Linked DNA regions of Chlamydomonas reinhardtii. The protein of the gene in region 2 binds, or shares a complex with, the protein of the main gene of each other region. Links are inferred from orthologs where the notes say so. Each region holds a gene or a part of one and is shown on either strand. Other genes may lie near its edges. The genes, in order: CHLRE_01g030950v5 and CHLRE_06g306800v5.

What was found.
Region 1: the proteins of CHLRE_06g306800v5 (region 2) and CHLRE_01g030950v5 are in contact, whole or in part, in a cryo-EM structure (PDB 8K20), measured with the Arabidopsis thaliana proteins. The link is inferred for Chlamydomonas reinhardtii from reciprocal best matches to the Arabidopsis thaliana genes AT5G26110 and AT4G34412. Residues at the interface, in NP_001331017.1 of Arabidopsis thaliana: Thr27, Phe28, Ala29, Arg31, Asn58, Ala61, Arg62, Thr65, Arg68, Lys69, Leu70, Gly71, Val72, Cys73, Val76, Leu77, Tyr78, Ala79, Val80, Asp81, Thr82, Leu83, Leu84, Gln151; in NP_680763.2 of Arabidopsis thaliana: Asp7, Phe51, Leu54, Ala55, Gln58, Ile62, Arg66, Lys147, Thr149, Gln151, Glu152, Ile155, Ser156, Asp160, Val163, Cys164, Ala167, Ala168, Asp170, Ala171, Leu172.

The regions. Positions count from the first base shown.
Region 1 is NC_057004.1:4,534,618-4,538,521, forward strand, and holds CHLRE_01g030950v5 (uncharacterized protein), read left to right. Parts: upstream 1-1,319; 5' UTR 1,320-1,361; coding exon 1,362-1,447; intron 1,448-1,521; coding exon 1,522-1,585; intron 1,586-1,825; coding exon 1,826-1,948; intron 1,949-2,169; coding exon 2,170-2,253; intron 2,254-2,413; coding exon 2,414-2,500; intron 2,501-2,873; coding exon 2,874-2,960; 3' UTR 2,961-3,388; downstream 3,389-3,904. Other genes in the region: CHLRE_01g030900v5 (uncharacterized protein), read right to left, coding at 1-2, 196-1,026.
Region 2 is NC_057009.1:8,380,003-8,383,906, forward strand, and holds the start of CHLRE_06g306800v5 (uncharacterized protein), read right to left. Parts: upstream 2,924-3,904; 5' UTR 2,836-2,923; intron 2,735-2,835; 5' UTR 2,579-2,734; intron 2,289-2,578; 5' UTR 2,277-2,288; coding exon 2,081-2,276; intron 1,878-2,080; coding exon 1,759-1,877; intron 1,389-1,758; coding exon 1,275-1,388; intron 1,182-1,274; coding exon 1,071-1,181; intron 915-1,070; coding exon 842-914; intron 679-841; coding exon 569-678; 3' UTR 1-568. Other genes in the region: CHLRE_06g306850v5 (uncharacterized protein), read left to right, coding at 3,131-3,133, 3,240-3,273, 3,469-3,629.

The DNA.
Region 1 (3,904 bases), on a different chromosome or scaffold from region 2:
ACCTGCGGCCCGTGGTCATGCGTCAAGGCTCCAACATAATAATGACAATGCTGCAGTGTTCGTTACCAAACTGTGGTACAGCACATGCAAACTTCACATATCCCCTGCTCAGCAAAATGACTGCCCGGCCACCGCGTCCAGGCACCTCAACGTGCGCATTGACCTACGCTTTACGCCCTTCACCGGTCGCCGCACCTGCACGCAGCCCGCCATGAGCGCGGCGAAGGCGGAGGACAGGCCGCCGATGTGGAACAGCGGCGCCGTGTGCAGGTAGGTGTCAGCGGGGCAGTAGCCCACCAGAGCCAGCTTCACCATCGACTGGGCGTGGAAGGCGGCGTGGCTCAGCTGCACGCCCTTGGGCGCGGCCGTGGTGCCGGACGTGAACACCAGCAGCGCCGTGCCGCAGGCGGGAGCCAGCAGCTGCAGCTGTGGCGATGGTGGCGGCGGTGGTGTTGAGGACGGCAGTGGGCCTGCTGCAAAGGATATGAGACGGCTGGTGGTCAGTGGGCATGCGCCAGTGCTTCTGCTGCTGCCGCTGCTGCTGGCGGGGGCACCGGTGGCAGCGGTGGCGCTGGTGGTAGTGCTGCACCCACCCCAGACAGCACCGTGGCTGCCAGTTGCTGGGCACCAGTGGTCAATAAGGCACAAAGGCGGCACCGTTTTTGCTGCCGTAGCATGATAAGGGCCATTGCTGCCGGCGTGCTGCTCTTGTTGCTGACGCTGCACCTGCAGGTCACGGCCAGCCTCTGCCACGGCCTGCTGCGCGAGGCCTGCGCATGTGACGTCGTGGAGTACCAGCGCCGGCGACAGCCGCTGCAGTGCCTCCGCCAGCTCAGCCACGCTCCAGCGCCAGTTTACGGGGCAGAGGATGCAGCCGGCATCGAGGCACGCCAGCATGGCTTCCATCATGACAGCGCTCGTCTGCGCGACCAGCACCACCACCGAGCCGACCGGGGCTAGCGGGCGCTGCAAGCCGTCCAGCCCGCAAGCCGATAGCGCGCGGCTGAGCAGCGCGATGCGATGCATAAGCTCAGAGCTAGTGGCAGAGCGTGGCGTGGAAGCTGCTTCGTCTGCACGCGTGGGACGGCCCGCAGCGTCGATGAACAAGGGACGCTGCCGCGCTTGCTGCCCGATGGACAACAAGGGAGCGCAGACATGGTAAGATGATGCCATATCTATGGATTTCAATTTACATATAACAGGAAGTCGCACGGCGCGACAAGGGGGTGAGCCATCGGGGCGAGCTTTGGAATCCAGTTGCCGTCCATCCCGCTAAAGTCAACGCGATCGTTGTACAGCCTCTTTCATTGTATGACTTCGTCTAGCAACCATAACTTATAATATATCACCGGAACTTCAAGATGGCCGAGCCCACGGTTCTGTCGTTTGAGACTCATCCCGGCCGCACGCTAACGGCTGCACTGTTCAAGGACGTCAAAAATGCAAAGTACGCATGCCGAATTGTAGCCAAGAAACTAGGAGGTCTATGCTGACGACGAATGTTTCGCCCGGCATGCACAGGGAACTGCGGGCGCTGCTCGCAGAAGGCTCATTACCAGAGTTTGCATATATAAACGCCAGAGTGGTGGGTGCTGGGGATTGTTAAGGGGTTATGCGACGGCGGCGGTGCCCTTCCCTGGCCACCCCCTGCCGCGGCCTCCGGGCCGGACGACCCCTGCTAGAGCCGTGTCGGAAAGTTGCTTGCATCCTTGTAAACTGAGAAAAGACAACCGGGAATTCTCTCTCTAGTTTGAGCCCGCCACTGCTGCAACAACACCAACAGCATCTCCCGCGTCCCTTCCTGCCCTCCCTTCCCCACCCAAAGGTGCTGGACCCCTTCATCCTACAGCTGTCGGGGCACCGGGCGCTGGCGGCGGAGGGCAGCACGCGCATGGCCACAAGGAACATCCACACGGAGCTGGTGTACGGCGTCAGCGCCACAAAGCATGTAAGGCCGCAGGTGCTTGTCATACCAGATCGTGCTGGTGCCGGGTGGGGCAGGGTGGTGGCGGACGGCAGCGCGCCAGGCGGGCTTGGGGCAGTGTGTCGGCGGTCGGTGTGTGTCGGCGGTCAAGGGGGTGCTATGAATTTCTGGAGACTCCAAATGCTGGTGTCGTGCCTGTAAGCTCGTCCAAGCCACGAGTGCGTGCCCTGACGTCGGGTGGGCAGGTTGCTGAGTCGTTAAAGCGGTTCGGCATCAACGACGACACGTCGGCAGTGCTGGTGGCCCGATTCGACTGCAAACCTGAGGAGGTGAGTCCCGGTGGCGTAACGCATTGAGGTGTAACTGGCACAGCACCGCAATACTTCTGCAGTAACCTCAGTCGCGGTCGCCAATGCCACTTTAGCATGCACCTCTTTGCACCTGCCACCTGACCTTGCTACTGCGGACTGGCTGCCCGCTAACCCGCAGCTGGAGGCGGTGGCCAAGCGGATAGAAGGCGAGCAGGCGGCCCTGTCGGAGCTGGGCACGGTGGTGGACCTGGACCTGATTGACAAGGTGCGGAGCTGGCGGGTGCCGGGTGGCGAGGCCGTTTGCCAACAGGACTAGGAGTCCAGGGCAGCAAGTGTCAGGGTTACGGTGTTGGCGGCAGAGTGCGGCGTTCCACCTGGAATAGACAGGTGCCGCAGGGCTGCGGCCGAAATCTTTGTGGTCAGATTCGGGTCGCGCCGAAACCTTACAGTGCCTTCGACGTGCAAGGGCCTGCGTTCGGACGAACGGCCGCCACAGTCCATTCTGGGGTTGAATGCCGCAGGCCACTCCGGCCTCCTGCCCCGCTCGCGGCATCCCCTGTCCCAGCCTCCAGCAGAAGCTCACTACCGTACTTATCCTCACCCTTCCGCCTCGGCACAATTATGCCCCCGCTCCATAGTACTTCAAGGTGTCCAAGCAGGAGCTGCAATCGCGGGGGCGTCTGGACGCCGTGACCTTCCGTGTCGGCGCAAAAGACTGCATGTGAGCTTGTAACGGTCGTGAACGATGGCCGGGCGTGCCGGTTTGCGTGCATAAGGTGCGCTGGCACTGCAAAATAGGAGCACTGGCCTCTACAGGTGTAGGGATTGATGCTGTTGTGTGCTGACGGGACGCGTTCATGCGCGGAGTGCCGTGATGCCATGGAAATGACAGCCGTTTATTGAATTGACGAAATGGGTGATGGCTGTGGTACTAGGGCAGGGTGCGAAACACGTGTGCGCACGTGCGCGTGTGCTGGTGAGCACGTGCCCAATGCGATTATAGGCTCCGACAACCGAAGCGGCAACCCAAGAACTTGCGTATCGTGTACTTGCAGTGCTTTGACGGACTTGACTGGACTTTACAACGTAAAGGGGGATACAGAGCCCTCCACGGGTGCGACATGCCCCCACGGTATTAGGGCCATCCGTGGCTCTCGCCAACCCGCGTCCCCACTGTTGGAGATATTGGGGTCGGCTGGCTAGGACTCACGGCGGGTGCGTTACACACACGCGCAGCTATGCTGCCTGGCACCGTATTGGGGGGTCTGGTCCGCTACATCCTGCGGGTGTAGTTAGCAAAACGTGCGCACTAGCCGGGGCAATATCCCCCGGGTGCCACGCCTGCGGCCTGGGACTGGCTGACAGACGTGACCGGCCACGAGCCGTCAACTGCCGCACTGACCTCGCCTATCACGCGGTTCGGGACGCAACCTTGCGGGACTCACGCCCGCAAACCCCAAATAACCAACACTCCCCCTCGGACCGAACCGGGTCCAACAGTCAACCGCCACATGACAGCCAACTAACAACAAGGGGAACAGGCAAGGCCAATCACTGGCCGCAGAGGAGGAATTACCTCCCCCTCAAAGAAGCACGTCTGGCACAGCTAGCTAGTTGACCCACTGCAACACAGGCGCGCGTACCACAAGTCACACTGCCACCAGTCGCT
Region 2 (3,904 bases):
CAGCCGGCCTCCCATGCATCAATCCATGCGATCTCGTGCCGCCTGGCGCCGGCCCTGCGAAACGACCGCACCACGGCATCGGGCACCGCCCCCCGCCCGAAAGCCTGAACCGTCCGGGGGTACCCATCTTCAAGTCCTTGTGTCTGTCGTCCGAGGCCGCCAGCTGCATTGTCCAACGTGCTGCCCCACACGCCACATCCAAAAGCCCCAGTGGCCCATACCAGCAGCGTGCATACCAACGGCACACAATCAAAGGCAGTCCTAGGTGCCTGTGCGCTGCGCCAAAGACCTATGATGAAGCCGTGCTCAGCCCGCAAACACGGGACATACACCTCAACCGTCGTGCACGTTTGTGCCACCGCCGGCCCCTTGCTCACCATGCTTCAGCCCCAGCCCATGCCGAAGCAAGGGCCGCCGTCGAGCCGCCCTGCCGCCCACGGCTCCAGCACACCCCCGCCGTACCCTCATCCAAGCAGCCCGCCCCTCGCCCGCCACCCCCTCGTGTGTCGCTGCCGTCATACCCGTTGGGAACACGCAAGCGCTCCGCACCCAGCGCGGCAGCTCGCCTCTACTTCGCAGCTTCTGTCTTAGCTTTCTTGTTTGCGGCCGCTGCTTTCGCCCCTGACCCTGCCGCTGCCGCTGCTTGGCCGGGTTGTGACACCGCCTTTCGTCCACGCACTGCGGTAGCAGAATGGCAGACACAACGGAAGCAGAGGTCGGGCGTGACGGATACACATATCACAGTCCCCGGCCCGGATGGTATGGCACGAGGTGTGCACGATTGCACAGCACACCGTCCCATGCCGCCTTCGGGCCCTCCCCATGTTGCCATGAGCCGTACCTTCTGCCAGCTTGTTGTGTACGGCTGACCACATCCGGGATGACGGGCGGTAGGTGTTCAGGACCTTCTCGAACTGTCGCCACATCGCCACAGCATAAAGATTCAGTAGTGCCTTCACACGTGGAAAGCCTTCACGCGTGCGAGAGACTAGCTGACAATGGCGAGTCAGAACAGAAAGAAAATGCACACATTTGCATCCGAGAGCAGCTAGACAGTTGGCATGACTCACAAAGGCTGAGGCAATCTCTGTCGCCTTGGAGGGAGCCGCAGCCGCAGCCTTCGCCCCATCACCGCCCGACTCCGCGCCCGCAGCAGCTGCCGACGTGCTTGCGGCAGCCTCCTGCGTCACCGCAAACATCACCATCAAAACCACCATCATCACCGACTTGGTGCTGCTGCCTCACACCCCCTGGACCCTCCTCCCCCACCTCACCTGCCCTCCCCGTCCCGCCGCCGCCTCCAACAGCGCCTTCTCCAGTGCCGCGAGGTCGGAGGCCTTGTCGATGGCGATGAGGGAGTTGGTGGAGCGCCGGAAGTCAGTCAGCACCTGGAGGAGGTGGGCAGAAGGCGTTGGGGGATTGCAAAGATGGTTGGAGAAGCCTGCACTGAAGGTTGCAGCGGGGGAGGCGGGGAGGATACACGTGTGTGCCGGTATCCAAGGTCACATCTGTGCGAGAACCCCCGAGCCTCAGGGGCCCCAGCGCAGCCAGCAGTACACCAGACCGCATCCTCCCTGCATCCACCACCAACCCAAGTCCTCCTTCGTGTACAGTACAGTTCAACTTTACGTGTGCCCCAACTGGTGCGCGGGCCTCTCCTCCAAGCACCCTCTCCAACAAATGCAATCTGCCCCATTCCTTGCATTCCATATGCTGCTGCGCCTGTTGCTCCCACCCCGACACTCGCACGGCACCCACCACGGCTCCGTCGCTGTCCCGCAGCAGCACGCTGGAGCCGCCCAGCCCGCCGTGCACCTGGTCGCCGTCGTGCAGCCGCGCCAGCGCCTTGCCCAGGGCCACCGCCGCCGCGTCCAGGTCTGGCGTGCCGGCAGGGCCGGGCGGGTTGGGCGGGTTTGGAGGTTGTGGTGAGTTGAGGTGCGGTGGCGTGTGGCGGCCGTGTGCAATGCTATACGGTGCAATGACCAGAGAAGTTGAAATCGGTGCAGAGTTGCAGCATGACTTGGTTTACGGTACGCTTCAGCGTCACGGTGTCCCCGGTAGGGCTCACACTGCTGCTCACCTGCCGCGGCCTTGCCGCTGCCACCAGCCTCCGCCGCCTCCGCCCCTGCCGACCCCGCTTCCGCTTCCGCCACCGCCGCCTCCATCAGCGCCTGCAGCGGCCTGCCCGGCACTGCCTCCAGCACCGCCCGGCCGCTCTCCACGTCCGTATGGTACACCAGCGGCACCAGCACGCCCAGCTTGTGCGCACGCAGCATGCTGCGAGCCACCTGCGCCCGCGAGCACCGATGCCGTGTGTGCAGAGAGGAGGGACAAAGCCGCATGTGGAGAGACAAGGAGGGGGGTGCGGGGGTGGGGGTTTGAGGCGAGGTCAGCACGGGTAGCTTTCTGCGCAAGTTCCACTACCACTCAACCAGCAGCGTGCTCAGGTAGTGCTGGAGTGGAGGCGGGGGGCAACGCGTTGTGACTCTGGCAGCAGCCCAGCCCCCCGCCGCCGCAGCCGTCATCAACCCCTCCAACCCGTCCTGCTCATCCTTCTCGTGCCCCTCCCCCCCCTCACCTGCCGGATGCCCCCCTGCGCTCCCTCGTCGCCTCCCTCTTCGGGCCGGGCGCGCTTTTGCGAGCGCTCGCCAGCGCCCGCCCCGCCGCCAGTGCCAAGTGTCACAACTAGCGCCGGCCGGCCTAGGAAGGTAATGCGCTCCTCCTCATGAGCCGCCTGGGGCGCAATTCCGAAACATTTTGAAGCTTAATCTAGCGCAAGAGCACAAAGACCCAAGCGAGACAGCGAAAAAGTCAGAGGTGCACATGCAGGCACACCTTGGCGCCGGTTGCCGCGCTGTCGTCCCCTCCCTGCGCCTCCATTGCTCCTGCCATTTTGTGTGCTGATTATATGCAGCTGTCGCAGCAGAACTGGAAAATTGGTCTGAATAAGAAAATCCATCGGTCGTCTGCATGGGCTGTGCCACAAAACCGCGAAGCGACGACCATTGCATATACATTTTTAATCGGTTTGGCCCACAGAGTTCTTGACTTACTGGTGACTGAGCTGTTCTTGGCGTGCGGCGGCAAACACAGAAGGACTCAGGTCTAGAGCAGGCGCCGAGCAGTCGAGATGGTGCGTGAGATACTTTCAAAACTATAGAGTCAACAGACAGATCACATGCAGTCAGCGGCTCTCGATCTTGGACTAAATTTCGATTCTCGCTCGTGTCTGCACGTAGGCTGACGACGCGCCAGCAAAGCCGACGGAGGAGGGTGAGTTACGTGCCGGCGAGCGCGGCGAGCATCGCAGCTGCGCCGGAGTGCGTGTCAGCCTGGACAGCCTGGCGGGGGAACCCAGCACTGGGCGACGCCCAGTCGACACGGACTTCGGTCGCCTGCCCAACACAGCTATGTAGGGCCCACCTAACACGCAATCCCGCTTTCCAACTTCAATCCAACCACCTGCAGCCCCCAAGGCCGAGGCTCCTAAGGCCGAGCCGGCCAAGGAGGCCGCCGCTCCGGAGCCAGCAAAGGAGACTCCCAAGAAATCGTGGGCGGACGAGGCGGAGGAGGAGGACGGGCCGCCGCCCGGCTTCGATGACATCGTCAAGGCAGTGGCCGCCACCAAGGTGGACGCGAGCGTGGGAAGATGTGTGTTGGCATTGTGTGTGTATGTGTGTGTATGCGGAGGTGTGCAGATGTGTGAAGGTTGGCACGGTGTGCGTGTATGTGGGGCCCGGGCCCCGGTGGGCCCGAGAAGTGACCGGTGGACACACGTGGAAGCCGACGCGTGCGTGCTGCATAAATGCACACAGCAGGATGGACCGCCGCGAGCTGGCGGCCTGGGGAGGAGCACAAGGGGGCGGGGCGCGGTGTGGGGGCGGCGGGGTATGCTTCTCCATCA